3 linked regions of the Arabidopsis thaliana genome follow. The protein of the gene in region 1 interacts with the protein of each later gene in a biochemical or structural test. Each region holds a gene or a part of one and is shown in the gene's direction. Other genes may lie near its edges.

Region 1 (4,894 bases):
ATCTAGTCAATGAATCGATAATTTGAATGAGTCTAATTTCAAGACACTGGTGAAATTTTGAAGTCAACAATTCTGAAACCTTAAAACATAATCTGATGATTCAACCACACTAAAGTCAACGTAATGCTACACATTAGCCAACAATTCTGAACACCTGAGCACGGTTTAAGCTAATTCCCTTATAAAGGCCTCAAAAGCTTAAACCTTAGCCAAAATCTGAGCTAGAGTAATGCCGAAGAATTGGATCAGATGATGAATTGTTTACCTGACGAAGCTGATATGAACACCAAGATTCCGGTGAGTAGCTGAACAATCGATGCAGAGGAAAATCCCATATGTAACCGATGCCCAAGTTGGATTCTTCGCACTACAATCGAAGCAGACCTAAATTGGCAAATCAAAACCAAAATTAGCATAAATGAATCAAAGATCTAGTCAAACAACTCTCAGATCTAAACATACACAATATCAAATTGACGATACTCAAAGAAAGAGAAGAATTCAGAAAAAAATTTGATTACCTTGTTCTCAGATTTTGATTTGAGTTTTCTGAAAACAATGTTTTTGTCGGTAAGATTGTCAGCAGAAGAAGAAGCCATTGTAGATCAAATTGTTCAATTTGATCACCTCCTTGAAGAAATTTGAAAGATTTTTTAATTTGAAATCTTTCTTCTTCAAAATCTGTAAATCTAAAGGAAACAGTACTAACGTTTGATGGAAACATTTGATCTGACTAGACTGACGAAAACACCCTGAATAAACTCTAGAAATTACGAAAATGGCATTACGTAGAAACGACACGTAGTGTGTAAATTCCGTTTCTGAAGCAACATGGATGATATAAAACGGACGAAAGCTTATCATTTTCACCTTTTCTTAAACCTCAATTCAAAGATTACTTCCTAATTTGTCTAATCGTGTGTTATACATTTTTCGTATTAATATTATGTTTATCATATGGTTTAATACGTACAGGATTTGTTTTTAATATCTGAAGTTAACATGTATTAGTAAATTAAAATACGACTTTTTATAACTCCAGGTTTTCAAACTAACTAACGGTTTTCATTTTTGCCTTCTTTCCATAATATGTCTCACACATATTATATGCTAAAAGTTTCGCTATACTTGTTGTTGACCATACACTAAAAAATGTCAAATGTGAAATATTTGCGGGCTAGTTTTATTAACTACCCAAAATGTGTGAGGCCCAATATAAAGTAAAGCCCAGCTTAATTTGTTTTGTTTGCTTTTATGCGATTCCGAAATGTCACTGTACAGTAGACACTATAGTTTCGTCGGATATGAACATAGAGAGACCAACATTTTTGGGCATTTGCTCTCACTGAAAAAGAAAGCATATTATGAAATCTGGCCACTAAAAACACGAGACCCACACGACATAATGTGATTATTTTTGTGTGGTCGTATAATTTTCGTAATTAAATCTAATTCTGTTTTAATACTATACCTTTTATTTTCCTTTATGCTCTTGCGTCTCTTTCACCTTTGATATCAAAATCACCCATGTCTTTTTTTTGTTCTTTATCATTGCAAAAAGTTGTGTCCAATAACGAAGCCAACAAAAATATGTTTATAAGAAAATGTTAAACTACAAGTCTACAATATTTGCTTTATAGGTTTTGTATATAAATGTTGTATCCAAATCTTTGGTGTTAACACTCCCTTAATCCCTTTAAATCATATTTTCCTGCCTCAAAGAACAACTGCAATTCTACAAACTCATTGTTTAAATTAATTGATGCTACTTGCTTACAAGAATTAAATGATGGGATTAATCACAAGAAAAGCAGATATTGACACCAATACCAAAAGTGAGGGAGACAAGATCATTATTGTAAGTGAAATATCATTTTCATTCTTTAATTGTTCTTAATTATCAACTTTGATGTAAAAGGCTCCTTGACAAATTTGATCCGATTCTCTTACATAGATTAGTAATTTTCTTGTAAAACAATTACTATTCAGAAAAAAATTGTTTTCAATCAAGTTATGTATATAACCCAACTTCAGAAATAACTCAATCAATAATTCATATTTGGTGAAAATAAAAGTACTATTTCTTTTTCTTTAGAGTTAAAAAAAAAAAATGAATATAAACAGATTCCTTTTCCCGAAACAATCAAACCAAACACAAATATTTTGCTTAAAGAACTTACTTCTCTCCTCTGTCTCTCACCGGAAAAACAAAAAGTCTTCTCTTTTATAACTACGTCAGAGAACTGTTATGTCTCCGACGAATGTTCAAGTAACCGATTACCATCTCAACCAATCAAAAACGGATACAACAAATCTCTGGTCAACCGACGACGATGCATCGGTAATGGAAGCTTTCATCGGCGGCGGCTCCGATCATTCTTCTCTTTTTCCTCCACTTCCTCCTCCTCCTCTTCCTCAAGTCAACGAAGATAATCTCCAGCAACGTCTCCAAGCTTTAATCGAAGGAGCAAACGAGAACTGGACTTACGCCGTGTTCTGGCAATCATCTCACGGTTTCGCCGGAGAAGACAACAACAACAACAACACAGTGTTGTTAGGTTGGGGAGATGGTTATTACAAAGGAGAAGAAGAGAAGTCTAGAAAGAAGAAATCAAATCCAGCTAGTGCAGCTGAACAAGAGCATCGTAAGAGAGTGATTAGAGAGCTCAACTCTTTAATCTCCGGTGGTGTAGGAGGAGGAGATGAAGCTGGAGATGAAGAAGTTACAGATACTGAATGGTTCTTCTTAGTTTCAATGACACAGAGCTTTGTCAAGGGTACTGGTTTACCTGGTCAAGCTTTCTCAAATTCAGACACGATTTGGTTATCTGGTTCTAATGCTTTAGCTGGATCAAGTTGTGAGAGAGCTCGTCAAGGTCAGATTTATGGGTTACAAACAATGGTGTGTGTAGCGACAGAGAATGGTGTCGTTGAGCTTGGTTCGTCGGAGATTATTCATCAAAGTTCAGATCTTGTTGATAAAGTTGACACCTTTTTCAATTTTAACAATGGTGGTGGTGAATTTGGTTCTTGGGCGTTTAATTTGAATCCAGATCAAGGAGAGAATGATCCAGGTTTGTGGATTAGTGAACCTAATGGTGTTGACTCTGGTCTTGTAGCTGCTCCGGTGATGAATAATGGTGGAAATGACTCAACTTCTAATTCTGATTCTCAACCAATTTCTAAGCTTTGTAATGGAAGCTCTGTTGAAAACCCTAACCCTAAAGTTCTGAAATCTTGTGAAATGGTGAATTTCAAGAATGGGATTGAGAATGGTCAAGAAGAAGATAGTAGTAATAAGAAGAGATCACCGGTTTCGAATAATGAAGAAGGGATGCTTTCTTTTACCTCTGTTCTTCCATGTGACTCGAATCACTCTGATCTTGAAGCTTCAGTGGCTAAAGAAGCTGAGAGTAACAGAGTTGTGGTTGAACCGGAGAAGAAACCGAGGAAACGAGGGAGAAAACCGGCGAATGGAAGAGAAGAGCCTTTGAATCATGTAGAGGCAGAGAGACAGAGAAGAGAGAAGTTGAATCAGAGATTCTATTCTTTAAGAGCTGTGGTTCCTAATGTGTCTAAGATGGATAAAGCTTCTCTATTAGGAGATGCTATTTCGTATATCAGTGAGCTTAAGTCTAAGTTGCAAAAGGCTGAATCTGATAAAGAAGAGTTGCAGAAGCAGATTGATGTGATGAATAAAGAAGCGGGAAATGCGAAAAGTTCGGTAAAAGATCGAAAATGTTTGAATCAAGAATCGAGTGTGTTGATAGAGATGGAGGTTGATGTGAAGATTATTGGTTGGGATGCAATGATAAGGATTCAATGTAGTAAGAGGAATCATCCTGGTGCTAAGTTCATGGAAGCACTTAAGGAGTTGGATTTGGAAGTGAATCATGCGAGTTTATCGGTAGTGAATGATCTTATGATCCAACAAGCGACTGTGAAAATGGGGAATCAGTTTTTCACGCAAGATCAACTCAAGGTTGCTCTAACGGAGAAAGTTGGAGAATGTCCATGAATTGAAGTCAGCATCTTTAGGGCTAATACACCGGAGAATACTGCGAAAAGTCGAAAACAACGATCATAGTATAAGCCGCGGTAAAAAGTGTTAAACCTTTCACACAAGTTTCTCTAGTGAATGTAGTTGTAAACTCTATTGTGTAAGGGTAATTTTGTAGTACCCACTTGTTGCTATTGAATGCTTGTTAGAGAGGATTCTTAGTGTAGTATATGATTAGGTTGGGGTTTGTTGTTTCATGAGATAAATAAATGTGTTTGATCAATGGTTAAGTCTTTGGTTTGTTGGTGTATGTATGTAAATAAGGCTTTTGTTAGAAATAAGACAAATGGGACTGAAGTTGGAGTTTTTTGTTGTCTTTTGAGTTAAAGTTTGAGTATTTCACTTTCAAGTGAGTTTTTTGTGTTCATCATTTGGGACTAGTCATTGGGAAGTTGGCATCAAAAGAGGCATCTAATTTGTTAGGAACGAATATACCTACTTTTTTTTGTTTTCAATAGGGATAATTTAAATCAATCACAGCTATTTAGAGATTCCAATGTAGGACCTCAAAATTTATGTGGATGTTACATGATCATTATCGTTCTAAATAGTATTTTGAACCATAGATTACTTCAGAGTAATTAAGTTTGTCGCATAAATCATGATGCACAACATGCAAATGCTAAATGGATTTCTTGATATTGACAGAAGAAGTGAAACCACTAGAATAATACCCTTTAAAAAAATAAAAAAAAATCAATATATGTCATAAAGGTCCAAAATGGTGAAATCAAAATGAAACATGGGGATATAAACATAAGATGTCTTAAAAGGGTTGTGGGGGAGGGAAAGCGAGGTTATGAATCTTTGAAGAAAAAGTTAAAATCATACAAA
Region 2 (5,035 bases), on another chromosome or scaffold:
TTTCTCAAAAGGAAAGTCTCAAAGCGACGACGTATTATTTTCACGCACGTTTTAAATTCTTGATGCCTTTTTTTGTTTTATTCTTTTTTCTTAAGTTACACATTTAAACAAACAAAAAAGAACAAAATGAGAAAGAAATAGATTGTTTTCGAGCTTTCTCTCTCTTCTCTCTCTAAAAAATCTTAGAGAAAAGGGAAAGTTTTCTCTTTTGTTTCGCTGGCCTGATGGCATTCCGACGTTTATGTGTTTTAATATAGTTGGGTTTTATATCTAACATCTCTGTCGTTTTTAGCAGTGATGGCTGGCTCTTGCCTGACAGCGTTCGAATTCCATGACCATCGTTGGCCGGATCTACTTTTCTTATCAGTGTATCTGATGTTTTTTTTTTTTTTTTTCTTTCAATAATCTCATAGATCCTCTATTGGAAATTTAGGTGTTTTTTTGCTTAAAGGTGTTTATTATCCAATTTGATCTTTTGAGTTTGCGATTTGCAGGAATCAATCCAAAGAGTTACATCTTAAGTTGCAGAAAAGAAAACAATTTCATTGCACACTAATATTGCTTTTAGCTGTAAATCTCTATTTTGATGTTCGATTGGTTTATGAACAATGAAACCTAGAAGAATCAAGCTTGCTTTTATAATCAATGATGATTTTTCTCACTGGAATCGATCTCAGATGGCGAATGATCTACAATTGAGGCTATTTGTCTAATTGATCTATGGACACGAGTGTTTTCCTTTTTGTTTTTAGGTGTTGCTGAAAAGCTCCATCGGCTTAATATCTACGTTGATGTTCTTTGGAGTTCGGGAGTCATTGCCCTTGTGAAGATCTTTTCTTTACAGATTTGATGATGTAGTTGGTAGGATTCTCTAGTTAAAAACCTGTGGACTTATTTCTTGAAGCTCTGACGGTTTTCGGTAGTTTTGGAGTTCCCTTACGCTTCGTACCATATCGGCTATGAGCGGCGAACGGCGACAACATCTACTTCAACTTTACTTCATAGGCTCACACATGGTTTTGTGTTGGATTTGTTATATTTCTTAGTTCCTTAAAGGGGTATCTTTATGGATTGGACTTTTTAAGTTGGGTCTCCGCTTATAAGCTGAATTGTTGGTGAAGTGGAAGCTTCCACTGTTGTACCTTTTACGACATAGAGTTTTAAATAGAAGAGAAAATTCCCAAAAAAAACTTCAACTATTAAAATTTGCCAAAAAAACCTCAACTTTTTCGGTTGTCAAAAAACTCAAACTAATTTATTAGTGACAAATAAAACCCAAACTAGAAATATTGGCAGATTATACATACGCTCTAAAAACAAATTATAGTTTTATCCTTAAAAAATTAATTCTTTTTTTTTTGAAACGAAAAGAAATTTCTTATTTACTTTGTATTTTTTTAGTTTATACGTTTTTGCCTTTTTGGAAATTATCATAGAAAAATGATATGAGTGTCTCATTTTTAATTCTCTTTTCATATATTTTTACTTTTTAGATTTTCAAACTTTAAAAACCAAATCGTTTCTCTATTTCTTTTTTTTTTGCTTATTTCTTTCTAATTTTTGGTTCCTCAATATCAAAATGATTCAATGTTCTTCGACTAATTTACATATTTTGATTTTTTCATCATAATTATATAGTTAGCTTTGTGTTAATATATCTTATTTAATTTATTTTAGCAATACGATAACGGCGGTATGCATGTACTAAAAAGGATGCGTAAAGAGTATTAAGTTTTTCACATCGAACAAAATTGTCCACTATTTTATTTTTTTAAATAGTTGTCTATATTACAAGAACAAATGAAAATAAATAGGTATTATTAGATAAGTAGTTTTTTTTTTTGGTAAGGCATTATTACTTATTAGATAAGTAGTTAGATATATAAAATAATCAAATAGTTGAGGTTTTTTTGGAATATTTCTGAGAAAAACAAAAAGAAAACAAAATTGATTGAATAATGAATACACCGAATAACGAACGTTGCGTAGAGAAGAGAACCAATTCCCAATCAAACGGAGAAGACAGATATTATTCACAGAGAGGCTCATGGCTGAGGTAAACGGAGATTTCCCCGTTCCTAGTTTCGCCGACGGGACCGGTTCTGTTTCCGCCGGACTTGACTTGCTCGTTGAGAGATCGATTCACGAAGCTAGGTATGTATCACTAGTAACTGGAATCAATTTGAATCGTTAATTCTCATTTCTCTTTATCTGTCTTTGTGTTTGAAGTTTTTTCTTAGCCTATAGTTCTGTGATTTGTTAGTTCTTAGTACACTATAGGAGCGTGAGCAATTGACGAGACTTGGATCTATATGAATTGTTAAATTAGCAGATCAATTTGGGAAACTCAAGAGGTTTAATTTCAAACTCTTGTTTCAAGGTCCACAGAGCCAGATGCTTCAACTCAACTTACTATTATCTTTGGTGGGAGTTGTAGAGTCTTCAATGGTGTCCCTGCACAAAAGGTTTGGTCCATCTAGCTTTGAGTACATACATTCTGATTTTGTTTATGTTGGTTGCATCAGAGTTTCTAATTGTATTGGTGATCAATGCTTAATAGGTTCAAGAAATCATTCGCATCGCTTTTGCTGGTAAACAGACGAAGAATGTGACCGGTATCAATCCAGCACTGAACAGAGCTCTTTCTTTCTCAACTGTAGCTGGTAAGCAATTGCTTCATTCGGTTACTGTAAGCATTATCTACGGAGTTACGGACTATTAATCCCTGTTTGTCTCAGATCTTCCAATTGCTAGGAGACGTTCGCTTCAAAGATTTCTCGAGAAGAGACGGGACAGGTAGTTAGATATTCAGTGTTTGCTTTATTAACATATTGATAGTTCTGGAAGTGTTAGTGTGTATGAATCTGATTTGTTAGTATGTATTAGTTTGTGACGTCAAATATTGTTCTTGCATTTAGGAATTTTCATGTGTAGGTAGGTTGTTGAAGCTTAAGCAAATGAAGAGACTGGATCTATGTGAATGTTAATTTGTATACATTGACTGGTTTCGGAAACTGAGATAGTCTTTTAGTTTTTTTTCTTACAAGTGTTTAAGCTTTTATTCTCATGTATTATTCTACTTCTATATCATATTTGGCTGACTTATGGCCACCAGATAATTGTGTATTTCTTAGTGATCATGCCTCACAAATACATTAGATGTTGTTGCCCATTCTTTAGTATCGGTTTTATGAGCTTGAATTTGAACTAGGCTTGTGTGTTTGATTTTGGTACCGTTGAATGCAAAAATAGCCTTCTATCTACTGTTAGATGACATCATCAGATGATTTAAATTTAGTAGGTTGTTTGAACTGATGTATTGATGGGACTGAGGTTAGTTGATAGCCTAAGCGGCTGTAATATTGTAGTGGAATCACTATTTTGTTCTTCTCCCTTTTGCATCAATAGGGTCTTAAAATTTGGGTGGATTATTATTATCTTCCATCATTCATAACTAGCTCTTGTTTCTTCTATTGAAGGTCCACGAAGCCAGATGGTTCAATGATCCTTCCAAGTCAACTAACCATTATTTTTGGTGGGAGTTTTAGCGTATTTGATGGTATTCCAGCTGAAAAGGTTTGGTCCATCCAAGTTTTGAGTACATTCGTATTTCGTTTTTGTTGGGAAGCAGTTGCATGAGATTTCTTGTTCTCTTGGTGATCACACTTAATAGGTTCAAGAAATTCTGCATATCGCTGCTGCAGCTAAAGCCACTGAGACAATTAATTTGACCAGTATAAATCCAGCATTAAAGAGAGCTATTTCATTCTCAAACGCATCAACAGTAGCTTGCGTATCGACAGCAGGTAAGGACTTGCTACATTGGATTACCGTAAACGTTATATAGTCCGAGTATGGAAAACCCCATGAGCTTTATGTAAGATGCATGTTTATCTCAGATGTGCCAATTGCTAGGAGACGTTCACTTCAAAGATTTTTTGAGAAAAGACGGCATCGGTAGGCATATCTGCAGTGCTTGTTTTATAAACATATACTCTCATCTTTCTCCATCACTCACCTATGAGTTTGACCATTAGATTTCATCTAATAGTAACTTGGACCCTCTTTATTTTCAGATTTGTCCACACGAAGCCTTACTCTGCTACGACTTCGGAAGCAGACAAAAATGAAACCAGCCCCATTGTGACATGAGCTCCAAGACTGTAAGCTAACCTCAAACCTTACTTTCGAAGCAACTCAGTATCACAGTTATCTTTGACAAGATTAACACAGCTCATATATAAGCCTTCCGTTGTTGTACGATAATCATCTGCCTATGTTTCTTAGACAAAACACAAAATTGTTTTCCATGTTTGTGATTTGATGTGTTTATCATCTCGCACCTCCTCTTTGAGGAAGATGATTTCTTTTTCTTCACAATGTATGTTGATGCTGTATGATAAGGTCTCAGAGCTATATAAGAACACAAGAGTACTCAAAAATGACCATGAAAGACTTAGTGTCCTTATAAGCAAATCACGACCAAGAAACATACAGAGAAATCATCAAATACTAACCGGAGAGATTAGTAGGGACCTCAGATCAAAATTTTCAGGTCTGGTTAGGCATGTGATTATTACCAGAACCAAAATTTTCAAACCAAGCCAATCCAGTTTTTGGTCATTTCAATTTAGGGTCGGTCACTAAAAGTGAACAGGTCGGCATAATTTTTTAGTACATATATTTAACATGTGCCCAAGTTATGACAAACGATGAAACATAACATATTTATTATAAATGATTTATACATCATAACTCATAAAAACATCAAAATTATGAAATATTTTGGTAGCGCTACCATAACCACTCAATCATCCGACTGAAATCATCAAAATAAAAAAATATTTTCTAACTTTTTTTATATTTACATAAATATATCTACAAAATGATCCCGTATAAACTTGTAATAAATTATATATGTGCATTTTTCAAGACCAAATCTCTAAGATCAAAGACTAATGCTACCACATCATTCAACGAAACAATGCAAATAAATTTTGGGATAACTTTAACTTTGATCATCTTTTAAAGTATT
Region 3 (4,850 bases), on another chromosome or scaffold:
ACCCGCTTGTTACCAGTACGGAGACTCTCTTCTTTCTTTTCGAAATCGCTGTTAGAATGGATCTATGCGAATTTAGGAGAGGAGATAGAGATTAATGGTTGTCCATGGGCGGTCACTTTTTCGCAGGCCATATGGTGGGGGTGGAAATGGCGTTACGGTAACATCTTTGGCGAGAACAAGAAGTGTCGGGATCGGGTTCGTTTTATTAAGGATCGTGCGTTGGATGTTTGGAAGGCGCATGTGCACAAAATGGGAGTGACGACGCGGACAGCTAGGGAGGAGAGATTGATTGCGTGGTCTCCGCCAAGGGTGGGTTGGTTTAAGCTCAATACTGATGGTGCTTCGCGTGGTAACCCGAGACTAGCTACAGCAGGTGGAGTAGTTCGAGACGGGGATGGAAATTGGTGTTATGGGTTTTCGTTGAATATTGGAATTTGTTCGGCTCCGCTTGCGGAACTATGGGGAGCATATTACGGTTTAAATATCGCTTGGGAGCGCGGTGTCACACAGTTGGAGATGGAGATTGATTCGGAGATGGTAGTGGGTTTTCTTCGGACAGGGATTGATGATTCGCATCCGCTGTCCTTCCTGGTGCGGTTGTGCCATGGCTTACTTTCAAAGGACTGGTCAGTCCGGATTTCGCATGTGTATAGAGAAGCTAATCGTCTCGCGGATGGGTTAGCTAACTATGCTTTTTTTTTACCGTTAGGTTTTCATTTGTTTAATTCTACTCCGGATATTGTTATGTCGATTGTTCACGATGATGTAGCGGGGTCTGCGTACCCCCGGAACGTTCAAGTGTAATTTTTTTAGTTTTTTCAGTTTTAATAAAAATGGGGGTTCGCCCCCCTCTTCTACAAAAAAAAATATCACTTTCAAAAGGACCCATTCGCTACCCAATTTTTCTAAACCCCAGAACGTTTTTTTTTTTTCCAAAACACAACAGCCACTTGGTCTTTGCAACAATGCAAGTAGTGTAGTGGCGTAGCTAGGGGTAACGAGTTACCAAACCGGTTTGACAATCTGGTTCGATCAATTGGCCGATCACTCGGTTTGCTCTAATCTTGCTTCATTTAGTCCCATCAACAACACTTATTAAACTAAGTCACATCTAAACTTTTTATATCTTTGGTATCATTTTCCCCGAACACGTTTTTTTGAACGAGTCGTAGTTTTGAAGCAACCAACGAACGTATTGATTATTATGGGCATCCGTGAAAGGGGCAGTTCGGTCAATTGATCCATCAATTTTATTTTTGACCAAACTGATTAGGTGATCTTAAGATTTTTCCTTTTTTCTTTCTATAGGAAAGTGGGAAAAACGCGATTCACACGATACTGTTGCTAGTGCGTCGTACAGATTGCGATACGTGTCACAATCTTGACGGTCTGTTCTATTTAAACCACGTGTTTTAATCAAAAAACTTCTGTCGGATCGTATCGGAGACTTTGAATTTTTATGGCACATGAAACTTCGTAGGGGTTTGATGGTAGGATCCCACATTGGTCCACTTACTATTCAATTCGCACCGCCGTTAAGTTTGTTAACTAACGTGAGGAACGTCGCGGTGATGTAAAAAAAGGCCATGAAAGTTGTTTCTATTACGATGATGCCATCACTGGAGTTGGTAATGTGCTCTTGTGGAAGGGCAAATTTTGTAAATACGATCAAATTTCGAGTCTTTTACGAATTTGTGACATACGCCGTTTAATAACGTTTGCCGTCGGTTCTGAAATCTTTATTCTTTTTCTCTTTTATCGTTACGCGTAAGGAAAACGTGCGGTAAATTCTAACCGAAAATATATATAAAAAAGTAGTCCAATTTTGAAATCTGGCCGTTGATGGTAGACAACTAAACTGTGCCAAACAAGAAACAAGAGGTGAACATATTTTTATGATAAGACAGGGCAATAAATTTGTTGTACCAACTCATAAAACAATAGATAAATTACTTGCACAATGATGGATTATTAACATTAATTTTCTTACTATTAATCATGGATGAAAATTCCTTTCTTCACACTAGATATAGTTCTTTAACTAGTTAAAAATGCATGCGATGGAATATTACTAAATATGATATAATCTCATGGCTTTATGTAAGATTTGTTTTTTGGTTTTTTTGGTTGTTGTTAATAAATTTATTATTGAGAAGTTTAATTCTATTTTGGTCACAATATATTGAAATATTTTTAAGAAACTAAAAAGTTCCTATTTATTTTTGTTTTCATTAATTTATGAGAGGCTATTAAAGTCACAGAAACTTATTGGGTGAATGAGTTTATAAACACATGAGCTATTGAGCTAGTAGCCTCTTGTACTCTTCCATTTTACGCGCAATCCACGCACCAACAAAAAGAAAAGAAAAGAAGAGATAAAGAATATCTTTAAAAAGTAAGTGTGGAGAATTCTTTCTTCTCAATAAACAACAACATGTCGTCGAGCAATGAAAATGCTAAGGCACAAGCGCCGGAGAAATCTGACTTTACCCGGAGATGTAGTTTGCTCAGCCGTTACTTGAAGGAGAAGGGTAGTTTCGGAAACATTGATCTTGGCTTATACCGAAAACCCGATTCCAGTCTCGCGTTGCCCGGAAAATTCGATCCACCAGGTACTTTTATTATCTCTTTCTTCTTTCATGGCCGCCACTTGGTAATAGTACTTTAAAAACTCAGTTCTGTTACTACTTGCTTTTGCCAGATTTACTACTTTTGTATTGTTTCTTCATTTGTAAGTCAGTTCCTTACTTCAGAAATAATTTCTCCTTGTAATTATGAAGACAAGTAACAAAAATAACGAATAAGTTGATATAGAAATTGATTGAGATGTGGTTAATAAAATTCCAAAGATATAAGATGCTATATCATTTTTCTAAAGTTATTATAGTTCACGAAAGTTTTTATTCTCTTTATGCAGGGAAACAAAATGCGATGCATAAGGCAGGGCATTCCAAAGGCGAACCCTCTACCTCATCAGGAGGCAAAGTCAAAGATGTTGCTGACCTCAGGTCTCTCCTTTTGTTCCTTGGGAATACTTGTTGTTTTTGGTTATTGGAGATTAGAGAAAAGGATAATCGGTTAATCCGGTTAAAATTGGTTTTGTTCTGAAATCTGTTTTTGGTTTGCAGTGAATCACAGCCAGGAAGTTCGCAGCTGACCATATTCTTCGGAGGGAAAGTTTTAGTATATAATGAGTTCCCCGTAGACAAAGCTAAAGAGATTATGGAAGTAGCAAAACAAGCCAAGCCTGTGACTGAGATTAACATTCAGACACCAATCAATGACGAAAACAACAACAACAAGAGCAGCATGGTTCTTCCTGATCTCAATGAGCCTACTGATAATAATCACCTAACAAAGGAACAACAACAGCAACAAGAACAAAATCAGATCGTGGAACGTATAGCACGTAGAGCTTCCCTCCATCGATTCTTTGCTAAACGGAAAGACAGGTATTTAACCTTATCATACTTTTTGAAACTTGTTTTAATGTTCCAAATTTCCAATCACTCTAGTTAGTTCAAAACTCAAAAGTTTAAGGATCCTCCCTCTGATATAAGTTCTCCTAAATTATCCTCAACAAGCCTCGTAATTTACGTTATTAATTTTTCTGTTGCAGAGCTGTGGCTAGGGCTCCGTACCAAGTTAACCAAAACGCAGGTCATCATCGTTATCCTCCCAAGCCAGAGATTGTAACCGGTCAACCACTAGAGGCAGGACAGTCGTCACAAAGACCGCCGGATAACGCCATTGGTCAAACCATGGCCCATATCAAATCAGACGGTGATAAAGATGATATTATGAAGATTGAAGAAGGCCAAAGTTCGAAAGATCTCGATCTAAGGCTATAGTAATATTTGCTAAATTTCTTGTAGGAACTGAGTTTTTAGATTAACGTTTCGATTTTTCTGACTTATCTAAGTGATTTTATTTTGCTTTGTACTACAGTATGTAATCTTATTCTAACTTGAATATTCATTCATAAACACAATAGACGATAGTAAAGTTATATTATAATTAGTTAACTACGTACAACACTTGGGAGTTAAATTACATAACGTTAAGCGAGAAATAGCAAATTAGACAAGAGGAAGAATATTTAGGAGTTGTGAATTGATCTGACTGCAATAACATGAAGAGGAATCTGACTGCAATCGTAATGCGGGTAAAGATGGTTGAAAGTGATCAGAGCTCCTTTCTAATTTATTTAGGGTGTAATTTATGAAAATGATTATTATTGGAGTGTATATCAAGTTTTCACTAAACTCAGGGGTGTTTATTGTAATTAGTTGTCAGGTTCAAGTTCATTGAAGGCGTGTCTGATTTGGACAGTGATTGGGCCTGAGCCATAAGTTTAACGTGGGACGAGTTCATTGGCTGTTGCTTTTTAAATTTTCTTACAGCCTGTGACTTTAGCTAATCGATGTGTAAAAATAATAAATCCAATAAAATTCGTAAGAGCCACTCGATTGCTTCCTTCGCTTTCTATCAAGAGACTTCCTTTTTTTTTTCCTGTTCTTCATTTTTTTTTTGTTATTAATATTTTGTCATTTTTCTTACATTTTTCTCGAACACCGAAAACACTTTCGAACCCTAAAAGACAGAACACTGTGTCAATTTTCATTACCTGGGAACGAAAAGCAAAATCAAAGACAATAATTTTTTCCCCGAGAGAGAAAATGCAGAGGTTGAAGCAGCAGCAGCAGCAGCAACAAGTTATGATGCAGCAAGCTCTTATGCAGCAACAGTCTCTCTACCATCCTGGTCTCCTTGCCCCGCCACAGGTTTGCTCTATTCTTCTTCCATTTCCATGCTCGATTTGGGTTTCTAGGCTCTTTTTCCCAAGCTCG

The links. The genes of interacting proteins can lie anywhere in the genome.
Region 2: the proteins of MYC4 (region 1) and JAZ11 form a complex in vitro, tested with the Arabidopsis thaliana proteins (one study listed by BioGRID).
Region 3: the proteins of MYC4 (region 1) and JAZ5 form a complex in vitro, tested with the Arabidopsis thaliana proteins (one study listed by BioGRID).

Annotation. Positions count from the first base shown.
Region 1 is NC_003075.7:9,932,826-9,937,719, reverse strand, and holds MYC4 (Basic helix-loop-helix (bHLH) DNA-binding family protein), read left to right. Parts: upstream 1-2,034; 5' UTR 2,035-2,248; coding exon 2,249-4,018; 3' UTR 4,019-4,394; downstream 4,395-4,894. Other genes in the region: AGD8 (ARF-GAP domain 8), read right to left, coding at 266-384, 522-599. UniProt on the Arabidopsis thaliana protein: Transcription factor involved in jasmonic acid (JA) gene regulation. With MYC2 and MYC3, controls additively subsets of JA-dependent responses. Can form complexes with all known glucosinolate-related MYBs to regulate glucosinolate biosynthesis.
Region 2 is NC_003074.8:15,365,623-15,370,657, forward strand, and holds JAZ11 (jasmonate-zim-domain protein 11), read left to right. Parts: upstream 1-1,923; 5' UTR 1,924-2,047; coding exon 2,048-2,154; intron 2,155-2,380; coding exon 2,381-2,465; intron 2,466-2,560; coding exon 2,561-2,663; intron 2,664-2,738; coding exon 2,739-2,796; intron 2,797-3,479; coding exon 3,480-3,576; intron 3,577-3,673; coding exon 3,674-3,806; intron 3,807-3,899; coding exon 3,900-3,957; intron 3,958-4,076; coding exon 4,077-4,152; 3' UTR 4,153-4,535; downstream 4,536-5,035. UniProt on the Arabidopsis thaliana protein: Repressor of jasmonate (JA) responses. Targets MYC2, MYC3 and MYC4 that are JA-dependent transcription activators.
Region 3 is NC_003070.9:5,954,655-5,959,504, reverse strand, and holds JAZ5 (jasmonate-zim-domain protein 5), read left to right. Parts: upstream 1-1,993; 5' UTR 1,994-2,434; coding exon 2,435-2,612; exon of another isoform or gene 2,613-2,826; coding exon of another isoform or gene 2,827-2,917; coding exon 2,918-3,008; intron 3,009-3,128; coding exon 3,129-3,452; coding exon of another isoform or gene 3,453-3,519; exon of another isoform or gene 3,520-3,619; coding exon 3,620-3,851; 3' UTR 3,852-4,350; downstream 4,351-4,850. Other genes in the region: UBP1B (oligouridylate binding protein 1B), read left to right, coding at 4,680-4,784. UniProt on the Arabidopsis thaliana protein: Repressor of jasmonate responses.